Macaca fascicularis: one gene and its partner. The protein of the gene in region 1 binds, or shares a complex with, the protein of each later gene. Links are inferred from orthologs where the notes say so. Each region holds a gene or a part of one and is shown on either strand. Other genes may lie near its edges.

Region 1 (4,687 bases):
AAGCCTGGCAAAGCCAGCAAAATTACCTTCTGCTCCCGGAAGCGGCCGTCAATGATGCTGCTGCAAAGGTCATCCAGCCGCTTGCGCTCTACAATGTGGTCCAGTACCAACTCCCCAGGGCTCGCTGCTGACAAGCCAGCCGTTAGCTTGTGATCCCCCACCCACCAGGCCCTGCCCCTGGTGCCAGCCTGCCCACGGCCCTTCACCTGGGTCTCTAGGATTGGTTTCCTGCGCCACCCATACAAAATCCCCAACGTGCAGCTTGCGCACTGTGTGGGTCACGTGCAGCCGCTGTAGCTCTCGGAGCAGCTCCGGCCTGTGCCCGCCCCTGGAGTGGCAAGGAGGGAATCCTAGATCAGGGCAGGGCAGTGCCTACCCCCCAGCCTCCTCCGATCATCTACCTCATTTCTCCCCACCTCACTCACCCCCGGGTCTCGCCAATGTCCACACACAACAGCACCCTGTACTCTCCAGGCCTCAGCTCCAGTGGTGGCTGCTGGACCCCTGCTTCACTGGCACTAAGTGGGGGGTATCGGTATGTGAGGCCAGAACCCCTTGTGCTAGGGCAGTTGCCCCACACCCATGCCACCCGACACCCACCACCCACCTACAGTAGGGAGGCAGCCACAGCTCAGCTACAGGTGATGGATAGAGGTGGGGTTTTGGCCTCATTTCCCATCCCCACCTCCCTGTTTTCCCCCCTCCTCCGCCCTCCTTCTCACAGCTCTGCTGAAGCTGCTCCTGGCACTGCTGCCTCCTCCCCAGGGGGCTCCTTAAGCCCGATGCCCACATTCAGCAAGCTCAGGCCTTCTGACTCGGCTAACTTCTGGGCCAGCTCCAGGCCCTCTGGGGTCAATGAGTACCTGGGAGGCAGAGGGGAAAAATACAGCTCTCCCTTCTTCACTCATTCCTGGCAGGCTCTCCTGCCTGCCCCTAGCTGGGCTGGCCTCACCGCCCCCTTGGCGCCCTGCACAAATGACCCCAGTGGCTCCTGCTGCTCCTGGTCTTCTTGGCTCTTAGAGCAGTTCCTTGGACCTGCTCAGCTCCATTCTCAGGTCTGCAAGAAGTGTGTCTCAGACGATTTCCTTCCTCCTATCTTCACTAATGCTGTTTCCTCCTCCTCGAAATACTTATCCTGAATCTCTACCTGCCAAATCCTAAAACGTGTCAAACGCTATCTCCTCTGAAAAGTCTTTCTACTCCTCCAATAACCACGGCACCCTCCCACCCCCGCATCTGCGGTTTCACACCCTCCAGGTACTCCAACAGTGGGGGCTCCTGAGGAAAGGCCCCCAACCTCAACAGCATCAGCTCTGGGAGTTGTTGAGTGACTCTAAGGCCCCACTAAGAAGTTCATGTGTGCTTTCCTGTATCTCCTGCAGTTGGCCCCACCTGGCTGGCTGGTGTGTCCTGAGGACCAGGTTCCTGTGGAGGAGGGAGCGGAGGGCTGGCCAGGGTCGAGCACTCCCAGGGGCTACCTGTGGATCAGAAAAGAGACCGTCAGAGAGCACCTGGTACCACCACAAGTCCATGTTCCCTGTGTCCCCAGCCACGGGCCACACACGGGCCCACTGCAAGAAAAGGCAGTCTTTGGTGGGCTCCAGAGCCACTTGGGCCTGTCTTCCCCAATCCCTGTGCTCACCCTGGGGGCCTTCTGAGCACACCTCTGCAGCAGCTCCTCCTTGGTTAAGAAGTGGTAGCCATTAGGATTCTGAAACCAAGGTAGAAGAGACAGGGTAGGCTCAGTGCCAGGGACCCTCCTCATCTCGCTCAGGTGGCTGGGATAATCTTTGCCTGCCTTGCCAGGGCTAGGCACCTCTGGGAACTTCCCACCCCACTGCCATGGTTCCACCCAGTGCTCACCAGGTGCTCTCGGTAGAGCATCAGCAGTATCACTCGGGCTCCTGAGTGCCGAGCTGGCCAGTAGTTGCCAGAGCCTCCAGCTTTGGACTGGGCAGGAACCTGAAAGGTACAGAGGAGCTCTGAACGTGAAAGCCAGCCAGTCATTTTCGAGTAAGTCCCCAGCAGGCTTTGTGGCCCTGGGTAAGTCACTCAGTTATCTCTCAGTTTCCTTCTCTGTAAAACGGGCCAGGTGATGGGATGGCCCACTGCAAATGTGCGATGAGACAGCAGGCAGTTTCCGGGCAGCGGGTGGGGGTGTCTGCCCAGCCTGGCCTCAGTTCTACCACGCGCTGCAGAACACGTGTGATTAGACAGGAAAACTCAATAATGGTGACCCCGTAACTAACTGAGCTGGGCTCCCTAAGTAGCTTGATTATGGAATTCTCTTGTTGGCTGTTACCAATATTCCTATTCACAGATTAAATGTGAATTTAATTCAAAAAGTCAAAAAGAGGGTCAAAAAGAGGGTAAGTCAAAAAGTCAAAAAGAGGGTAAGTCATTTGCTCAAGGCCAGGAATCACTGGTGAGATTTGGACTCAGGCTTGCCAAATCTCCCAAGCCAGAAAATCATACTCCCGCACTCCCACTTTGCCTTCCGCTCCCCTTGCCCCTTCCTCACTGGCATGGAAGAGTCCTGGACTTCCGCAGGTCGCCCCTGGGGGGCTGGACTGTTCTCTCCAGATGGCGAGCCCGGGGCATGGTCACCTGCGGGAGCAGAAGAGAGTCAACTCCACACTCCACGGAATCCGGCAGCTGCGAAGGTCTGGGATGCAACCTGCTCAGATGATAAGTGAAACCGGTGAGGGAGGCTCAGGGAGCGCCAGCCACTAGCCCGAGGCCGAACGGCAACTTGGACAGGAGTGGGGAGCTTAAAGCTAAGGGCCTCCAGGTGAGTACGGAAGCTGCACCTGGGGGGAGGCAGGGGAGCACTGACCCTTTTCCCAGACGCTCACCGCCCGATGTTCGGTGCCGCTGCAGCCGCTCGTCCAGCATCCGGCAGAGCCCGTCTCCGAAGTGCTGTAGGATCTTAGCTTCCTTCCCGCTGCGCAGCGGCAGTGGGTACCGTCGGAGGGACCGCAGCGCCTGGCCGGGCAGGGGTAGGGTTCCTGGTCAGGGCAGGCCCGACCTGGCCAGCAGCTTTTCCCATCGGGCCACGCCAGGACCCACCTTCTGAAACACGAAGCGTGTGCGGCGCCCGCTGCGGGTCGCCTCGTCCCGCCACTCGGTCAGCCAGCGAACGAAGAGCGGATTGGGACAGGCAGGCAGCGGGCGCTTCCGGCCCAGGCGGACCGGGGCCGCCATGAACCCGAGGGCGGGTCCTCCGGCGCCCCACGCCCGCGGGACTGGGACGCCGCCAGTTCTGGAGTAGGGATTCGAACACCTGGCCCGGGGCGGGGCGGGAGAAGAGGGAGGCCGAGGGCAGGACCGCTGAGATCACAGGGCCCCAAACACACGGGGCACTAACGAGAGGAGAGCCTGCCGCCCTCCCGCCCCTGCGCTGCTCTAAGTGGTTGGTGAGGGGCGCTGTCTCTTAAACGATCTTTCCCCTCGGCACCACTCCAGCTAGCCTTCGGGACGCGCCCAATCCCAGCCCCCGGAGCCTGGACCGACTCCTTCCTGTCACCCCAGATTCGAGAGCGGGGTCATCTTTGTGTAGGCGAGAGGAAGGCGGACAGCGCCCCCTGTGACGGGGAGGACTGGTTGGGCGGCGCTTAACGGACTAACCTGAACTTGGCCACTCTAAGTCTCTTAAGATTGCCAGTTTCAGCCTCAAGCTTGAAGGAGGCTGGAGATGGAGACTGGTCTTGAAAAGAGTCCAGGAGAGGCGAGGGCTGGGAGACAAACGGGTGCAAACGTATTGGTGGGAAGGACACCCAGAAATGGGTGCTGGGGATGAGGACACAAAGGTAAGGCAGGAGGAGCTGCAGGATCCTTGGAGGAAATGGTCATCCTCATCCCCGGGATACAGGGTGTATGGTGGAAAGGAAGTCGGGGACGTGCAGAGAAGGCCTAAAATAGGACTCGGAAGGTCGGGGGTCAGAGGCCTAGAGGAAGGAGGACTGTAAGTAAGAGGTGCTTGGGCACCCTGGCAGTTGGGGAGGCCTGAGATGGGCACGTGGTTGGGTTCCGGGGCGGAGGAGCAGGCTGCGGGTTAAGAAGCCCAGACACAGGTAGAGGGGAGAACAGTTCGTCATTTTTGTGGCTAATCGGAAGTGGGAGACCCCCAGGGAGGTTGAAGATGGAAACCCTACAAAGGGTTTCAACCTGAGAAGCCTCAAGGACATGTATAACTGAGTTGGACACAGGCGACCCGCCAGGGTTCGAAGCAGCACCCGGCATCTAGCTGCTATACCGGAAGTCGTGAGACGCAGGTCTCCAGGCTGTGAGGAAGGGAGAGGTGGGCGCCGGAGCTCCAGGCCCGCCCCTCAGGACTGTGCCTAGCCCACGGCGCAGTAGCCCCACCCGGGCTAAATTGGACCAATGGGCTCCGGCTCCCGCCTCCTGCCCGCCGCGGCCTTATAAGGAGCCTGAAGCCGGCGGTCGGGCTGACCCCGCCCCCTCGAGTCTCATGTCCTAATAAGGACATTTAGGGCATCCCGCGGCTGGGGGCGGGCGGGAGCGCGTCTCCAGGGTAACTGCGAAGCCCCCTCCCTCTCCCCGTTGCTCTTGGAAACTCTAAGGCTCGGAAAAGGGGGCGCTAGCGTCTTCATGCAGGGCCGCTCGCGGGAGGCGGGGGTCAAGCTGCTGTCTCCACCTGGAGCGCCGGGAGCCCAGGCGGGGGCGG
Region 2 (4,771 bases), on another chromosome or scaffold:
AGAGGCAGATGCGGCGGGAGAGGTCAGGCCCCACCCTGCGGGGACGCCCGCCTTCACTGGGCAGCACGGGGAGGTCAGCCAGGAGGCCCATGCGCTCCTGCTCCGTGCTGCAGGCCTCGAGCGCCTAGGGGCAGGCGGAGGTATGAGAGGGTGCCTGGGGACTGGGCCTCTGCACCTGGAGGGGTTCGAGGAGGGAGGGGCCCACCTGCTGCAGAAGGCGAGGGGAGGGGAAGGCTGTGACCACCGCATCGGCCACGGCTGGGCTGACTCGACTAAACTGCCTGATCTGCCTCCGCCAGGCCCCCCGCAGCCCTGTGCCGTCTCTTGCCACCGGCTCGCCGGCTGCCCAGCGCCCTGCTGTGCAGAAGGAAAAGGCCTGGGATTCCCGGTACTGCCTGGGGACAGGGAAGGACAGGGAGAAGCCTTTTAGAACCTCAGCTGAGCAGCTCCCCATAGGCCGGGGAGGCACTGCCACCACCTTGAGGTGATCCTGCCCCCTGCCCCCTTCAGTCCAGGTGTCACGCACTTGAGGGGACACTGGGCGAGAGCCTTGGTGATGGCGCACACGTGCTGACTCAGCTCCTGCCACGAGGCCACCAGTAGCACGTCCAGGTTTGCCCAGAGCTGCAGGAGCACCAGGGCCTGGGGAGGAGGCAAGCTGGTGGGCACGAGCCAGAGGAAGGCTCCCTGGGACACAGCTGATAGCTGCGCCATGTGCCACGCTGGGAACCAAACCCAGCCAGCAGCCCAATCACCGGGACCCAGGCCACCTGACTCACCCAGCTCAGACAGGCCCTCACCTCTTCCACCTGCGGCCAGCCGATGGCCACCTCGGCACCGGCCACCTTCGGGCTTTCCGGCTGCTGTGTCCCCGGGGCAACGTGCTGGCGAGACCTGAACAGAGGTGACCATTCCTCCCTGTTCCCCATGGGGCCTGCCCTGCCCGAGCGTGGCCTCTGCCAGAGCCCACCAGGGGAAGTGGGATCAGCTATGCCACAGCAACCCCAGAAGTGTGCCCACCTCCCCTGAACCCCCATCCCAGCCACTCCTGCTGTGGGCATGAGTGAGTGGTACCACAGGTAGGCATCCAGCCCGATGACAGCCAGGTGGGACCGCGCGGTGGTCTCAGGGGAGATCCAGGGCACCCAGCGAGTCGGGCCAGAGATCTGAAGATGAGAACGTGTGGCACAGTTGTTCACAGGAGGCTGCGGCTCAGGGTCATGGGCCACCAGGCCACAGCTGGTTTGCAGAACAGCAACCCTGAGAAAGAGCCAGGGGTGCCCAGACGAGCCTGTTCTGTTACCCTTCGAGAAAACCAGCTCTGTGCCTCCCACGATGCCAAGGCGGCTAAGGAGACCCCTGGAGTGGCTGCCTGGGCACATCTCAGTTCCACTGAGCCCCTCATCCCGGTCCACCTCTGTATTCCAGCCTAGCTTTAACCTAGCACAAAGCAGGGCCTTGAGAGACTCATCCTTGGACACAGGGACCTGGCAAGGGTCTGGCCTAACCCCACGCTGCCTGGTGCAACAGCACCTGAGCACTGCTCCTTGCAGGCAGGGGCCGGGCTGTCCGCTGTCAGAGGACGAACACAGCCCGCCTGCAGCCTACTGCCCAGACCCCGGCCTCCTGGCACTTCTCAGGACCCTCTAGGAGCAGCTGTAGCCTCCACAGGAGGACCTTTCTCCATCTCACCCTAGAAACCTCTACGGTTTCGGATCAGAGAGGAATCCTGGCCTGCCCCATGCCCCCTCCAGCCCCGTCTACAAGGGCAGGGACCGGCAGCGCAGGCGCCTCCCGGCTGGGAACCCACCCGTCCTAACTGGAGACGGACTACTGCCACCACCCGAGCACCTGGGTCAGTGTGGCGACGCCCTGCAGAAACTCCTCGGGGTCCAGCAGCAGCAGGAATTCCTGTTCATCTGCAGTCCACACTTCAGAAGGCAGCTGTGGGGACATGGAGACGCGCTGCTGCCTGTCTCAACCCCGGGTGCCCCAGGGGCCCTGCCTGGGCAGTCTAGCAGCAACGCGGTCCGTGGCCCCAGCCAAGCCCAGGTCCTGACAGGACTGCTCTACAGAAGCCCAGGTCAGGTCTCTGGGGCCGGCAGGAATCCTGACCACAGCCTGACTCCGGCCGGAACCTTATCCAGCCAGCTCGGCTCTTTACCAGCAGAACGGCTTGGGCACCCCCACTTTCCGTTCTCCATCCGTGGTTTACCATCCGCGAGACGCGCACCGCCCAGGGACAGCTCCAGGACTGAAATCATGGAAGCAAAACAGCCAACTCGGGGCTGGCCCTCGGGAACCCGCGAGCACTCACGCTGCGGGGGCAGGGGTCGGGACTCGCTCGGGTCCACCGCAGGCTGCGGGCCGGGCGCTGGGGCTCGATGCGGCACTCGCAGCCCAGGGCCTCCAGGGCCTCCATCAGGACGTCGGCACCAGCGTCTTCCAGGATGGCTGGGACCAGGGGAGAGGAGCGCGGTCACTGCTTCCCTCCACCCTCGCGAGCGCCCTACCTGGGCGGGGGCGCGGACCCGGCAGCTTGCATTCGGCACAAACCCCCGACTGGGAAGCGCGCCCGGCCCCAGGACCCTCGGCGCGCGCGCCCCGCCCCGTCGGACGGAGGGCGCCGCCTGGCGGAGAAAGGCCTTTCCTGCCCCGAGCGTCGCCCGTGCCCTCCGCCGCACCTGGGTCCACGCACACCGCCAGGCGCTTCAGGACCTGCTCCGGCCGTAGCAGCCGCAACTCCTCGGCAGCCGCCCTGCGCTCCCCTGCTGGGTCCCGGGCTCTCGGGGCGGCCTCCGAGCCGGAGGGGCCCTCAGCGTCGGAGTCTGAGATCTCCCAGGTTGGAGGTCGCCGCTGACCGCTCCCGCCCCGTCCCCGGCCGCCGCCCTGGCGAGAGACCCCCGCCCTCCCGGGTCCAACCCGCGCCATGGCCGGACCGACTTCTTTTTCGCTTCCGGCCGCGCCCGAACACTTTAGCCTGGGACACCGGCCTCTTCCGGCGGCTTCCGGCCGCAGCGCTGAGGACGCGGGTCCGCCATGGCGCGGAAGAAGGTGCGTCCGCGGCTGATTGCGGAGCTGGCCCGCCGCGTGCGCGCCCTGCGGGAGAAACTAAACAGGCCGCGCGACTCACAGCTGTACGCTGTGGACTACGAGACCCTGACGCGGCCGTTCTCTGGACGCCGGCTGCCGGTCCGGGCCTGGGCCGACGTGCGCCGCGAGAGCCGCCTCTTCCAGCTGCTCGGCCGCCTCCCGCTCTTCGGCATGGGCCGCCTGGTCACGCGCAAGTCCTGGCTGTGGCAGCACGATGAGCCGTGCTACTGGCGCCTCACGCGGGTGCAGCCCGACTACACGGCGCAGGTGCGTGCACCCCGTCCGCACCCCGCCCCTGCAGCCGCCTGGTCTCCCCGCCTCCCCTCCTCCCTGCAGGTTTGCGTGTCTGAGGCTCCCACCTCCTGATCTCGGGGGCCGAGAGCCTTGCGAGCTGACCTCGCTTCCCTCTGGTTTTGCAGAACTTGGACCACGGGAGGGCCTGGGGCATCCTGACCTTCAAAGGTAAGGCTCGGGAGAGCTGGTGGAGAGCGGGTGCGCGGCAGTTCGATGCCGACCACCGACGGCACAGCAAATGTGTGTGCAGCACACCTCTTTTCCTTCATCAGGGAAGACGGAGAGCGAGGCGCGGGAGATGGAACACGTCATGTACCATGACTGGCGGCTGGTGCCCAAGCACGAGGAGGAGGCCTTCACCGCGTTCACGCCGGCGCCGGAGGACAGCCTGGCCTCCGTGCCGTACCCGCCGCTCCTCCGGGCCATGATTCTCGCAGAACGACAGAAAAATGGAGACACTAGCACCGAGGAGCCCATGCTGAATGTGCAGAGGACACGCATGGAACCCTGGGACTACCCTGCAAAACAGGAGGACAAAGGAAGGGCCAAGGGCACCCCCGTCTAGAATGCCAGAACCAGAGGGTGGCCTGAGGGGCTGTGAGGCAGCAGGGATCTTGTAGATGAAAGAAACCGTCTTCGCGTTACACCCGAGTCTGCCCCTCGGAGCTGGGAGGTCACCTTCCGCGACGTTTTCTGAGGATCTGCATTTTAGTGGGGAGGGCTGGGGCAAATCGCCACCTATGTTTTTCCTCTGGCCCTGCTGCCCCCACACCAACTCCGCAGGCTCACGCTGGGGAAAGCGGGAAGCGCTAACTCCCCTTCCCCCATTAGTGCTCTCTTTGCCTGGATCCCGGCAGAAGCTATGAAAGGGAATAAAGAGAAAAGAAGTACCCCGGGTTGCGGTGTCTGCGCGCTGTCTTTAGGACCGGGGAGAGAAGGGCTGATGTTGTGGTCTTGGCCCTGGCCGGGGGGCGGGGGCTCGGGCGGTGCGGAGCAGGGCGCCGCGTGGGTGGAACCACCTGGGCGGGTTGTGGGGGATACAGTTAGTGTCCGAGCCACTGGAGGAGACTTGGCCTCCGCAGCTGCCCTCTGGCCCCCCACGGCTGCTGGGTTCCGGGGTGCAAGTGAAGCAGCCTCCCTGAGTGCGTCCGCGGAGGCCGCCGCGCCGGGACCAGGCCTCTTTAAGCGCAGGCCCCGCCCCGGGCGCCACCGCCCCGCCCCGCGGAGCCCGCGCCCGCACCGCCATCATGATCTGCCTGGTGCTGACTATCTTCGCCAACCTCTTCCCCGCCGGTGAGCGGAGCGGAGCGGCGCGGGCGGGGGGTGGGCGGCCGGTGCTGGGCCGGTCTGACGCCACGTCCCCGCCTGCCCCGCAGCTTGCACC

Evidence for each region.
Region 2: the proteins of MUS81 (region 1) and EME2 are in contact, whole or in part, in a crystal structure (PDB 7F6L), measured with the Homo sapiens proteins. The link is inferred for Macaca fascicularis from reciprocal best matches to the Homo sapiens genes MUS81 and EME2. Residues at the interface, in NP_079404.3 of Homo sapiens: His330, Glu351, Phe354, Lys357, Arg358, Arg363, Val365, Glu381, Leu385, Gln386, Thr389, Asn390, Gln392, Val393, Ile394, Phe398, Lys400, Arg401, Tyr411, Leu414, Leu415, Arg417, Gly418, Leu419, Arg421, Leu422, Pro447, Ile464, Lys467, Ala468; in NP_001244299.1 of Homo sapiens: Glu140, Arg177, His179, Glu220, Glu221, Val224, Leu225, Gln227, Leu228, Trp229, Asn231, Leu232, Asp233, Leu235, Arg245, His246, Ala249, Val250, Lys252, Ala253, Leu254, Gln256, Tyr257, Lys260, Gln261, Glu264, Gln266, Phe268, Phe270, Cys271.

The regions. Positions count from the first base shown.
Region 1 is NC_088388.1:8,540,105-8,544,791, forward strand, and holds the start of MUS81 (crossover junction endonuclease MUS81), read right to left. Parts: upstream 3,408-4,687; 5' UTR 3,205-3,407; coding exon 3,070-3,204; intron 2,986-3,069; coding exon 2,856-2,985; exon of another isoform or gene 2,837-2,855; intron 2,678-2,836; exon of another isoform or gene 2,608-2,677; coding exon 2,522-2,607; intron 1,963-2,521; coding exon 1,864-1,962; intron 1,712-1,863; coding exon 1,643-1,711; intron 1,479-1,642; coding exon 1,393-1,478; intron 864-1,392; coding exon 723-863; intron 519-722; coding exon 426-518; intron 329-425; coding exon 207-328; intron 125-206; coding exon 27-124; intron 1-26. UniProt on the Homo sapiens protein: Catalytic subunit of two functionally distinct, structure-specific, heterodimeric DNA endonucleases MUS81-EME1 and MUS81-EME2 that are involved in the maintenance of genome stability.
Region 2 is NC_088394.1:2,536,908-2,541,678, reverse strand, and holds the start of EME2 (probable crossover junction endonuclease EME2), read right to left. Parts: upstream 2,953-4,771; 5' UTR 2,932-2,952; coding exon 2,685-2,931; intron 2,607-2,684; exon of another isoform or gene 2,455-2,606; coding exon 2,318-2,454; intron 1,945-2,317; coding exon 1,852-1,944; intron 1,441-1,851; exon of another isoform or gene 1,406-1,440; coding exon of another isoform or gene 1,292-1,405; intron 1,167-1,291; coding exon 801-1,166; intron 643-800; coding exon 527-642; intron 396-526; coding exon 206-395; intron 125-205; coding exon 1-124. Other genes in the region: MRPS34 (small ribosomal subunit protein mS34), read left to right, coding at 3,040-3,360, 3,513-3,555, 3,660-3,952; NME3 (nucleoside diphosphate kinase 3), read left to right, coding at 4,635-4,680, 4,764-4,771. UniProt on the Homo sapiens protein: Non-catalytic subunit of the structure-specific, heterodimeric DNA endonuclease MUS81-EME2 which is involved in the maintenance of genome stability. In the complex, EME2 is required for DNA cleavage, participating in DNA recognition and bending.